2 linked regions of the Drosophila melanogaster genome follow. The gene in region 1 interacts genetically with each later gene. Each region holds a gene or a part of one and is shown on either strand. Other genes may lie near its edges.

The links.
Region 2: of Dok (region 1) and Shark, changing one suppresses a phenotype caused by changing the other (phenotypic suppression), as found in Drosophila melanogaster (one study listed by BioGRID).

What each region holds. Positions count from the first base shown.
Region 1 is NC_004354.4:7,322,425-7,329,602, forward strand, and holds Dok (downstream of kinase), read left to right. Parts: upstream 1-1,789; 5' UTR 1,790-2,164; coding exon 2,165-2,248; intron 2,249-3,111; coding exon 3,112-3,429; intron 3,430-3,672; coding exon 3,673-5,139; 3' UTR 5,140-6,382; downstream 6,383-7,178. Other genes in the region: Atg5 (Autophagy-related 5), read right to left, coding at 1-48, 133-358, 734-839, 922-1,021, 1,096-1,248; Acsf3 (Acyl-CoA synthetase family member 3), read left to right, coding at 6,736-6,813, 6,894-7,083, 7,167-7,178.
Region 2 is NT_033778.4:16,198,813-16,204,716, reverse strand, and holds Shark (SH2 ankyrin repeat kinase), read left to right. Parts: upstream 1-1,832; 5' UTR 1,833-1,889; coding exon 1,890-1,968; intron 1,969-2,076; coding exon 2,077-2,573; intron 2,574-2,635; coding exon 2,636-3,157; intron 3,158-3,211; coding exon 3,212-4,439; intron 4,440-4,498; coding exon 4,499-4,992; 3' UTR 4,993-5,291; downstream 5,292-5,904. Other genes in the region: mrj, read left to right, coding at 1-275, 336-420; Lipt1 (lipoyltransferase 1), read right to left, coding at 5,540-5,710, 5,771-5,904. UniProt on the Drosophila melanogaster protein: Following axon injury, required for recruitment of drpr and glial cells to severed axons and for glial clearance of severed axons from the central nervous system.

The sequences.
Region 1 (7,178 bases):
TCCGCCCACGCTGATCGGTGAAATCAGTTTCTGGGTGTACGTGAAGTCCTATCAATAATGGAGATAAAATAAAAGCAAGTGGAAAATCCATCAATTTAAGCTGAACGGATCTAATTCGGCTTTTCCACTCACATCGTCTGTATAGATTCGCAGGGGAATGTTTTTGAAGGACTCCAAATCGCCATACGGTTCCATTAGCCTCCGATTGACGGCCCAGAACTGATCGAACTTTTCGTTGACCAATCCCAGCCAAAGCTGATTGTGGTCCTTCTTTTGCATAGCGGATATGACCAGGCCGCGGTGCTTAAGCACATCTGCCTCCTTCAGGCAGGACATGTAGTGCGATTCAAGTAGCTCCCTAAGAGTTGCGGATCATCAGTAAAAATTCAGTTGGAACCAACAGTTTGTGTACCCTAGTCGAGGTAACTATGCTATTTTCAAATATTTGAAACGTATTAAAAACCCTATTGTGGTACGTTTATCTTTGTGCGAAGTTGTTAATTCATATTTGGTCCAACTTTTATATGACATTTTCTCTTATAACACGGGATTTGCTTGATGGGCAATTGTTTACCCTGTTATTACTTCGACATCCACGGTGATTGTTCATTGAGACTCGAAAAGGGAAAACTATATATGATTGCAATCCCAAGTTACGACGTGTTAAAGATAAGATTTCGCAAACACGACTGTGGGGTACACAAACTGGTATGGCGATTTCTTTAATAAATACTTGGAGTTGAGCTTGACGAGCATGTCCTCGGGGAACTTGGAGAAGTGAATGGTGAGGCACCAGGGCGTGCTGTCCTCCTCCGGATGCAGCAGATCGTATAGGACACCTAACCAGGATTCAAGACAGTACCATCATTAGTATCAAATGGGCATGCTATGATATCATCATCTCGTTAATGTAAACCCCACCAATTGGATAGTGAAGTCGCAGGGGCGTTCCATTGAAGTCGAACCACACAGCTCCATCCTGGTGTTCGGCGCTTATATAGCGTGAGAAGTACTTGCGAACCTGCCAGGATATGTACGACAGTCATTGGGATCTTATAATTGGTATGGCCATTTCCATTTGAAGCCTTTGTTTACCTTGTCAGTCACCAAAGGCAAGTAGCTGAGTCGCGATATCATCAGATAGAAAGGCTCCGGCTTAATGCCCACGATCTCGTCCCGATCCGCCTGGAAGCATATGCCTATCTGGCCCTCCCAGATCATTCGCAGCACCTCGCGGTCGTGGGCCATGTTCCTTATTTGGCTTTTGTTTTGGCTAAATTATATTTCCTTTTTGCACAATACGATTTGCGATGTTACCAGATGGGTGAAACAATGCTATTTGATAATAGTGATGGCACTTGGCATTCGAAGATGGCAACGCTGAAATATCGCACGCCACTTTGCTGCCAGACTGTTTGATTTATTTTTATTCATAGCTATTTTTTTAAACACACGCGATTAAAATATTTGCTCACAGAAAATATTTTCACCATAAATTTGTAACTTAATATTTCACATAGATATATATATATATATATTTGCATTCAAAATAATATAAAATATCAAAAAAATAATATAACAAGTTTTTCGTATTGATCGAAATGTTGATAACTCCAACAACGCAATTATGAGAAATTAAAATTGCGCGCTAGGAGAGGAAAACATACCAAGATTATAAAAATATGATATTAATTTATTATTTTAGACCTAAGAAATAATTCAACCGCTTTGTTACCAAAAAACCATAAGTTATCGATCGCCATTAGTTATCGATGACGATTGCAGCAGCTGCATGCAACCGTGCAGCGCATAAATAAATAAAGTCGACTTGCCTCTGTGCTCGCTTTTTGGTGATTTTTTTTTGTGCTGCGGCTGCGCTTTTCGAAATTCGAATCTCCGTATTCGCTGTGCGATATGATGTGATGTTTACTATGAAGTGATCAACTAAATGCGACCGCGAAGCTATCGTAAAGCACAGAAAAACGGATGAATTGAAGGAAAACTCCAGAAATCGCATAGCCCAACTCCAGCAACAACAACAACAACAACAATTCGGAATCGGAGGCGCATTGTGTGAGCTAGATCGGCGAAGGAGAGGGAAAGAGAGCAGGAGACGAAGGAGAGTGGGAAGAAGGAGAGGAGAGGTGGAGGAGTGGTGCACAGAATGGATGTTGAAATACCTGTTTTGGCTGGATATCTTAATGTGCCGACCCAAACTGGATTTTCGCTAAATCGCATCTCGAAAAAGGTATGGAAAATCGCCGTATTTCCGCCCTTCTATATAAATATTTCCCCATTTATCAGGGTTTAAAAAGTTACTTTCTGTTTGCAATTATCCTACAAGTGCGTAGTTTTCGATAAATCAAACAGGACCTATGTGTTAATGTGAGTGTGTTATGTGCATGTGTTTCTGTCTGCATACTTGTTGCATACAAATGAGGCCCACTGTGCGAGTGGGAGTGAGACAGCGATACGCGGTAGAGGGAGTGAGCGAGAGAGGGGCCGACTTCATACAGTTAAGGCCATAATATTAGCATATCATTTTTAATAATATTAATATTCCAAGACCAACACAAACCCTTTAATGAATTAAGTGAAACCGTATTTAAAAACAATATATCAGGCAGTAATAATATGATGCTTTTAAGTTAAATTAAAATTCGAATAACATGCTATGCATTGATCCTAATAACTTTACCCCCACTGTTGGAGTTTCAGATGGCACACACAGCTGGCGATTCATGCTACTTCGTGGTATTTGTGTTTATGCGCGACAGGAAATTCTTGAGCCAGCAGAAAACTGGGGAAAAAGGGTGGTGGTGCAGGGGATCGCAGAGAAGGGGCAGAGTGAGGGCGAATAAGTACTTCACGGTTTAGCCCATTATGCTCATACTCTATTTTTATATTTTTTTTTAGCATTATCCAATGCAGGATACTACAAAATCTTAAGACAAATTTGAATTGATTCTGGTTATTTATACACTGCAGTTTCATATGCATATACATATACATATACAATACATCTTCTTCAGTACGTTACTAAGATATAATCGTTTTAAGACATCCAAACCGATTTAATCGAATCCCAATTTTTTCTTTTTTTTTTTGCAGAAAGCATGCAGTCGCTACTGTTTGCTATTCAAGGCCAGTCGGCATGGGATTGCCCGCCTGGAGATGTGCGAAAGCAAGGAGGACCGGAACCCCAAAATCTTCACCCTCGAAAACTGTGTGAAGATCACTCAGGAGCCGCCTCCCGAACGCCTCATTCACATTGTCAAGCGGCAGGCTACCCTAACACTGAGCACAAGTAGCGAGGAGGAGCTCAAGGATTGGATCACCGCCCTGCAAACGGTGGCCTTCTGTGACACCTCACCATCGGGGGGAATCGGGGCCATCGAGGAGGACAACGACCTCTACTGCAGCTCCTTTGTGAGTGATCATCTCTGTATAAGCGAAAACTTTCTGGGGTATTTCGTTATATTTGCGTAATCTTATAGTTGTCAAAAGGGGTATACGATGAATCTAAAGCGTTCTTAAGAAACTAACGTGAAAATGCACCTCCAATTCCATTTTTAGTCTCTGACAATAATTGGCACGTTTAAAATAAGAATATAAAAAAAACCGAACCGCATAAAAAATCCATAATAATCCACACCTTTTATAAATTTGCAGGATGGCTTGTTCATTATCACGTTGATTCCATCCGAGGCCTCCATTCGTTGCTGCATTGAACCTAAGACATATATGCTCCAAATGACGCCCACTGAACTTCAGTTGAAATCGGAGGATTTGGGCGCCACAATCGCCATGTGGCCATATCGTTTCATTAGGAAGTACGGCTATCGCGATGGCAAGTTCACCTTTGAGGCGGGCAGAAAATGCACCACCGGCGAAGGCGTTTTCACCCTGGATCACACCAATCCACAGGAGGTATTCCGCTGCATGTCCGCCAAGATGAAGTCGATGAAGAAACTGATTAGCGGCGATAGTCTGAGCACCTTGGAGTGCGGTGAGAATCAGTTTAGTGCGGCAGCTGGCATGGAGCCCGGTTCGCGAAGCCCACTGCCACCATCACCGTCGAGTAATCCCCACGGTGGCGAGTTCGAGATCAACTCAACGCAAAGCTGCATATCCCTGAGGGGCTTCATTAGCTCTAACGATTCTCTTAATAACTTCTCGGCGGGTGGAGGTGGAGCAAGTGGCGCCACAGCAACGGGTGGAGGCGTTTTAGGAAGTACCGGAGGAATCACGCTATCCGTGCCCGCAAATAGCAATAGCAACAGCAGCAGCAGCAAACACATTCCCAACAAACCGCCACGCAAAAGCCCGACAACCCATTGTGATAAATACAGGAATATTGTGAAATATGAACCTGTGGCCATAACTACGATATCTTCGCCATCCGCCAATTCCGATGTGAACAGTTCAGTGATACTGAAACCCCTGGAAGGCGAATCGATATCCCTGCCGGAAACAGCAGCCGATTTACCGCCCGACTTGCCGCTGCGAAATGAGAGCGCCTCGAAAGCACCGCCTCCGGAGCGGGATTACGAGTGCATCGAAAATATCACAGAGGCGTGGCGCACAAGGGGCGTGGGCGATGTTAGGCACAGTGAACGTATGCCCATACTCTGCGATACCTCAGAATTTGTACGCCAGCGATCAGTATCGAAATCCACCTGTGGCAGCCAAAATACACCCAAGATCATAGACATCGATATCGGTGAGGGTTGCACTAGCGCCACATCCATTAGTGAATCGAATTACGATCGTTTAGACTTTCTATCGCCGAACAATAAGACATCGAGTGGCTATAAGACCATTGTGAATGTCACACCCGGTAATCGCATACGATGCAGTCCACCGCCACCCAATGAATACGAATTGATCGCTAGTCCCGATACGGAAAGCTTCCGTAAAGCCGATGACAGTCATCGCGGTTACGGGGTGCTGCGAAAGGCTAGCACCACTACGAACAATAATAATCTAGGAATCTCCAATAGCAATATCAGCGGCGGTAGTAGCACCATCACAACTGCAACGGCCAACAAAGGCGGCAATCTCGAGGCGGCAGCCATCGATCATCGCAGCTATAATGGCCTCAACTACACAATGGTCAGCAAACCGAAGCGAGTGTAAAATATTTAAGGATTTCAGATCCGATAGCAAGGATCCAGAGATCCTGGCATCGAACTGGGTGCAGTGGGGTTTTGGGGTGGATCGGGAGGAGATAGTCCTAGTTTTTATTTGTCCCAGAACTGTTGCTGTTTTCAATTTAATTCAACACAACTTGTTGACATGTTAATTTGGATTTTCCCAGTAGTCAAATTCATGACTATTTCGTTATTGGACGACGCCAGATGAATAAGCTTGTGTGCTTTTCGCGATACATTTTAAGTGTTGCGATAACAAATGTAAATGTATGTTCAAAAAAATTTAAAAAACAAAATTGAAAACAGTAACGTGCCAGTAACTTTTTACATAATTTCATACATTTTGAGTATAAGTGAAAAAGAAGAGACTGCCGAGTGCCTTACAGTTCTACAAAAAGAAAGAAATTCCTGGCTGGAAATCGAGGGAAGGAAGTGCGTCGAATCTCTAAATCCCAGAATTTGTCCTTCCCTTTGCCAAGCCAAAAACAAATACCATTCGAATCGTTCAATTTTTTTTTTTTTTGTAATTGTTTTTCGTTAATTATGTTAAATTCGTAATCTGTGATTGTATTGTTAATTGTGAAACTGTTACATTTTTAGCAAGCACTGCCCGCCACTTGATGATCGCACTCGAAAAATTCCCCCGGCTCTTACTTAAAATGTAGTGTTAAATTAAAGCAAGAGAAAAATGAAACTCAATCGAATCATGGACGTAACGAAAATTTACAAAATGTGTATGCGATTTATGCTAAATATATGTGTTTTTGTATATTTAAAGGAACTAGATTTTAAATACACTGCAATTGTACTTGTTTCCGTTTATCCGTCCGTCTTCTCAAGGTTTTGATGCCATATAAATCGGTTATTCGAATTGTTATTCCTATACGTTTTTGTATGATAGATCATATAGCTGCCATAGGAACAAACGGTGTAATGCCATTATCTCAAAAATCACCCAAAATAGTTGACTCTTATTTTTTTTTTTTTTGCTCAATCTTAGACTGTAAATATACAATAGGTTTCTTAAGTGTTGTTTTCGATTGCACCTCCTCTCAATAACCCAAATAAGAAACCCGCCCCATCGTTACCCCATGCACGTTCGAGTTCTCAAGCCAGGATTGTTGTAAACGACAGTTTTGAGTATTATGCAAAGGTCACAAAAAAAAAAAAAAAAAATTTATATAAATTAAAACGAACAAACGAAGGCGAACACAAATAAGAAAAATACCAAAAGAAAAATAGTGACGTTCATTTTACTTGAAATATATCATCTTTTTTTTTTTACTTACCTTACGTTTACGATTATGACTATTGTAGTTATTAATTTTTGTGTCTGCAAACTATTATTGTGTAAATAAAGACCAACAAAAAATCAAACAAATCGAATTGAACGACTTTCATTTGTGTCCACTCAAGTATGTCATGTTACGAATCTCAGAATCGTTTTGGCTTTTCAAGCGATAGCAACTGAAAATCTGAGTTAAATTTTGCTCTTTGTACTATTATTTAAAATAGCTGCATTCGCGCACACACCATCAAATAATCCATAAAAAAAAAAAAAAAACAAAAAAAAAACAGTAAGATGCTGCTACTTCGCCGTTGCCACAAGTTAAAGTTGCGTCCATTGGCCCGTCTTTGCTCCGCCGAATTGATACATAAGGTAATATATATAGGTAGATATATATATATATATAATATTTATGTAATTGCAATTCCACAATTTCTATTTAATGTTTGCAGGATGGCTTCATCGAGAAGCTGCGCCATAGTTTCGATGAAGAGGAGCGTAGTAATGTGGTGGTGCCCACGTTCAAAAAGGCTATGCTCTATCCGGATGAGATCGCCGTGAAAGACATCAATGGGGAGTACACTTATTTTCAATTGTATATGGCCGCCAAACGTCTGGGCATTCAGATCTCAAATATATGTGGTAAGTGACAAACCATTTTTCCGGACGTTCAATTTATTTACGGTTCAATTTCAAAAAGTTTGCAAATTCTTCTCTTTTTTCAGGCGGCGCCGCGC
Region 2 (5,904 bases), on another chromosome or scaffold:
AGTGGCAGTCGACGCAATGGCGGCAGCAGTGGATCATCTCGCCACCATCATCATCACCACCAGCACAAAGTGGCCAGTCCGTTCGGGGCTCCAATGCTTAACTACTCAATGATGGACTTCTTTATGCCCACCAGCGGCTTCACCTCGTTCTCGTCGATGACCCACGGCAATGGCAGCAGCGGTGTCACCCACATCTCCAGCGGACCCGGTGCCAGTGTCAAGCGCACCTCCACTTCGACGGTGTTTGTGAATGGCAAGAAACTGATGACCAAACGGTATGATAAACTCTATCTGGCCATCATAGAATCGTTTCATATCTGCATTTGCATTTTCAGGGTCGTCGAAAACGGCAAGGAAACTGTCTTTTCATATGAAAATGATGTTCTGAAATCAAAGACTGTGATGGGCTCCCTTCAATAGCTAATTAATTAAATTCACACATAATATATATATATATAAATATCAACAAAAATCAACAAAGGAAAAGTCATAAATGTAAAGCCGAATGAATATTAACAAGCCCAAGAAGAACTCGGAATTCGTTACCGCTTCGAAATATGATACTTTTAAAACTTTAAAACTTTGCTCTACACTACAATTTAGTTACTTTTAATGGACCGAACAGCACCATAAATGAATCAACAGCCAGCGAAAGGACCAAGCAAAAATTAATCAACAGCAGAAACACTAACAGCAGCGATATCCACACCAAAAATATGGAACATGGAACAGGCCATTGAATTAAATCAAAATTCCCCGTAATAGCGAAATATGGAAATTTATTTTTTAAGCATAGTTTTTGAACACAGCTGCCCTACAACAAAATTGCACCGGTGGAATAAAGCCAACACCATCGAGCACCACGAGAATTAATGGAAAAACCATACTGAAAATTTAGCCAATAAGTTTTAGGGGCCAGATTTTAAATATGCTGTTCGGAGCGAGTGTGTTTGGGTGTATATCTTTTTGGGGGGGATAATTATGTATTCTTCGTGTATGTATCGTTAGTCACTTAAGTTGCCACAATACTTACTAGGAAATCGAAAGCGGAGAAATTCAATCTAAGCAATGAATCGGAACTAAAATAGGCTTTGCGTTAATTTTTCTTTACATTGTAAGGGATATGAATATGAATATTCTAAACGATGACATTTAATTTTTATAAATATTTCATAACCTAGATTTCTTTATTAATTTCGATGCTGTATGCTAGCGTATAGTCGTTTTTTAAATGCTTAAGACTATTCTCACATAACCTGCAGAGCGAAAAGAAAATTAATCGTAACATAATCGCCAATAATTTAATACTTTGTTAAGCGAAAATTTCATAATGAGAATAAAAAAAAAAACACATGAGAATGAAAATATACAATAGATGCGAAACAATTAAGACAAGTGTTTTATTACTACTTTAAATATAGTTTCATTTAATTAATTCGTTGAATTTCTGCGATGCAAGCTGATCGATGATAATTCTGACATAATATTAAATATTATTATAAATAGGTATTTTTATATAAACAATTATAATCACTTATGCGAGCATTTATATTGATGTATAGAATCAAGTTTTAATTGAACTCGCTTTTAAGTTATTTTTAAATCAGCAATAATGAATAATAAACCATGAAATCTTAAGAGTGAAATTTTAAATTTTCCCGCCAACTCTCTTTGGTTGGCAACGCGACCATCCCCTGGCCGTGCTGCCAACTTTTAGCGTGAAAATTAAAAGAAATTGAAATATCATAAGTAAAAAAGCCAGAATCAAGTGGAAGAAAGCTAAATTGGCAACACTGATCGCTGGCGGTATTTTCCTACGATCCACCAACGATCACACTTCCCCAAAATTATTAACAAAACGCAGCAGGATCGGAGCAAATGGCCCAAAAATGAGTCGCGATAGTGATCCCATGAAATGGTACCACGGCAACCTGTCCCGCGAGGCAGCCGACGAACTGCTAAAGCAGGGTAAGTGCTGGCGCAGGACGCCAATTGGCCTGACATCAGTGATGATCGCTGGGATGTGGGCGTGGTGGAGCACAATGATGGGTAATTGGTATGGCAATCAATCAACAGGTTACGAGGACGGGACATTTCTGGTGCGCGAGAGCAGCACAGCGGCCGGGGACTTTGTGCTGAGCCTGCTCTGCCAGGGTGAGGTGTGTCACTACCAGGTGCGGCGACATGGCGGCGAGGACGCCTTCTTCTCCATCGACGACAAGGTACAGACGAAGATACTGCACGGCCTGGACACGCTCGTCGACTACTATCAGCAGGCGGCCAATGGTCTGCCCACCAAGCTGACGGTGCCCTTGATCCGCGATCTGCCGCCGCACAACACTCGCAGCCACGGAGTGACCAATCTGCTGCATCGCGCCACAAGCAAAAACGAGAGCAAGGTCGTCTTCGAGCTGCTCAAGTGCGGCTATCGGAATTTCGATGCCAAGAATCAGGATGGACAGACGGCTCTGCATCTGGCTGCCCTCCACTCGGACGAGGATATACTGAAACACCTGTTGAATGCAAAGGTCCAGGTCAACAGCTCCGACTCCTTTGGCTGCCAGCCATTGCACGTAGGTTTACCCACGCACAACTATGCATAAAGCTCCCTATAACCATACACTTACATTCGTAGTACGCCGCTCGCTCCAAACCGGCCAGTTTCATACGCACACTCATCTCGGCACAGGCCAATGTCCAGGGCAGGAACATCGACAACGGCTATGTGCCGCTGCATGAGGCTGCCAAGCACGGCAACCTGGAGGCTGTGCAAGAGCTGCTCCTGGCTGAGGCTCCGCCGTTGCCCAGAACAAGTTCGGGTGAATTTCCATTCGATCTGGCCAAGGAAGCGGGCCAAACGGCAGTAGAAGAATTCCTGCTCAACTACAAGCTCCCACCGGCGAATACCACAAGAGACCAGTGGTATCATGGCACTCTGACCAGAGAAGAGGCAGTAGCCATACTAAAAAAGCATGCCAAGGAGCTATTGGCCAAGCAACCTGAAGTAGACACCTCCGGCTGCTTTCTGGTTCGCTACTCCGAGTCGCCGGCGGCCTCGGGGTTGGTTTTAACATTGCTTTGTGATCAGGTGGTCAAGAATTTTCGTATTTCGCAAGCTGATCTCTACCAGAATGGTAACAAGGTGCAGTCGGGCGGGGTAAGTTATCACCGTACTTTAAATGTTCTCTTTAAAGTAACCTCTGTTTTGCAGTCCAAGTTTCTGTACATTGATGACGGTCCCTACTGGCCAAGCGTGGAACATCTAATAGCCCACTTCATGCGTTTCTCGTACGGGTTGCCAGTGAGTCTCAAGTATCCGGTTCCGCCACAGCCCAAGCCAGAGGTGCCATCGTTTGCCACAATACCTCGATCTAATATGAAGCCAAAAGCAGCATCGCCCGCTACCCCGCCCACTCCAGTATCGCCACATTCGCATCATCAACACCCCCACGTTCCCGCCCTGACCATAACGAAGAAAAAGCAGAAGGAGAACAGTAGCTCAATGTTCAACACTCTGCGACTGACGAGTCCGAAGAAAGCGCTATTCGACATGAACAGCCTGCGCAAAAACAAGTCCAAGGGCAAACGCAGTGACTCCGAGAGCAGTGTGAGTGGTTCTTTGGCCGGAACGGAGCAGGAGCTGCAGGCAGCGGCACCCATGCTGAAGAGCCTGTCGTTCTCGACGGAGTTCTCAACGTTTAACGCGGATGGCGTAACTGGTTCTGGTGCCGCCGCTGCTGGCGAAGTGTACAACGTGCCCAGGAACAACACGCCCATTGAGATTGACCTGCCACCGATTGCCCAAAAGACTGAAGCCGAAGTTGAGTATTTCACGAAAAGTGATGTGGCCATAGAGCGCGAGCGAGCAGGTCAGTGGATCGGCAACGGCTACCAGCCCACAATGGACGTGCTATCCCTGTTGGATCAGCAGATCAAGGCGCCCGCCGTGGCGCGACTAAACTCGCTTGGTCCGAACGCATCAACGGAAAGTGAGATGGCCAGCTATCTTCATCGCAAGTGCAGCGGTACGCCAAGCACACCAAGCGCCACTGAGGTGGAGGCCGCCAAGCTGAGATTCTTTATTGAGCCAGAAAAACTAGTGCTGGATAGAGAGATCGGGCACGGGGAATTCGGTTCGGTGCACAGTGGATGGCTGCTGAGAAAGAGCGGTGCCGGCGAGGAATCGCGCTTGGAGGTGGCCATTAAGATGCTTAGCGACGAGCACAGCAACAAACAGGAGTTCCTGCGCGAAGCATCAGTTATGATGCGGCTGGAGCACAAGTGCATTGTGCGATTGATTGGCATTGCGAAGGGTGAAATGCTAATGATGGTTCAAGAGCTAGCTCCGTTGGGCTCCATGCTGCAGTACATACTGGATCATGGTCATGAGATCACGGCCAATGCGGAGCTGAAAGTTTGGGCGTCACAGATTGCGTGTGGTAAGTCAAATTCAAGACAATTTGATTCAATTCAATTAATTAATTAATGTTTGTACCAGGCATGCATTATCTGGAATCACAGCATTTTGTACACCGCGATCTGGCCGCCAGAAATATATTGCTGACCGCACGCCACCAGGCGAAGATCAGTGACTTCGGCATGTCGCGATCACTGAGACCCGGTAGCACGGAATACCAATTCACCCAGGGCGGACGTTGGCCCATCCGCTGGTACGCACCGGAAAGCTTCAACCTGGGCATCTTCTCGCACGCCAGTGATGTGTGGTCCTTTGGCGTGACCATCTGGGAGATGTTTTCCCTCGGCGCACCGCCATATGGGGAAATATCTAATGTCGATGCCATCAAGTTGGTGGACAGTGGCGAACGCCTGCCGCAGCCCAATCTCTGTCCAGCTTACATCTATGCCGTGATGCAGAGCTGCTGGAAGGAACGACCCAAAGATCGGCCAACCTTTGTCTATCTCACCGAGTTTTTCGCCCGCGATCCTGATTACCAAAACCTGCCGGAATTGGTGCAAACGGTTCACATTTAAGCCAGTTTCCATTTTCCATTTTTTCCGTTCTGAGTGCAATTTTCTGTAGCTATTTATGCAATGTCTTCTATTTCGTTTTCAACGTATTAACGATCTGGAACCCACAGATCACTATTGTTGTTCCGTATCCTAGTATTCATGTTTATAGCTTGTAATATATTTTTTAATCATATGTACAACCAATTTGTGTCAAAAGAAAGCGAACAAGTGCCTTAAAGATTTAGCATATAAGCTTTGTATTCATTTTTACAAATCCATTTTGTTTCATTGGTTATACAAAATAAAAACTATTTTTATACATACTGCGCTTTTTGATTTAGTATTAAATAATACAGCAGTATGCTTTAATAATCAATGTTTAAACATTTAATGCAGTTCTTTTATATAAAACGTGGTAACAAAAGTAAATAGTTTGTTGGTAAACCGCTTAAATACTAGGTTAGTAATATGGTTTCTTGGAAAGATTATAACTACGTTAGCGTGGTTAGTGCTCTAGAAATGGATTATATATTTTTTTGTTAATTTTTTCGAGCTAGCACAACAGTAATCAAGCTGATCCGTTTATTGCCTGCTTCACATTCGATGCGCTGACGAGCTTAAGGGCGCCAAGTATTCCGTTCAGGTTCTCCTCGTTGTAGGGCTTGCCCTGGAGCGGAGTCACCACCGGGACGAGCTGATCGCTCTGCGGCAGCTGGATGCCGATCTCCTTCATTAATCCCTACAAATTTAGTAAAATCATAAGTGATAATTCTCTAAAACAGGGCAAAACAAATCTTACCGCTTCCACTTCCACGCTTAGTTTCAGTTTCATGTCCTGCTCATCGCCCTTCACCTCCAGTTCCTTCTGCACGGTGAACTTGGGAGTCTTGCCGATGACCCAGTCCCAAGAGCTGTAGTTGGAGCGCAATTCCT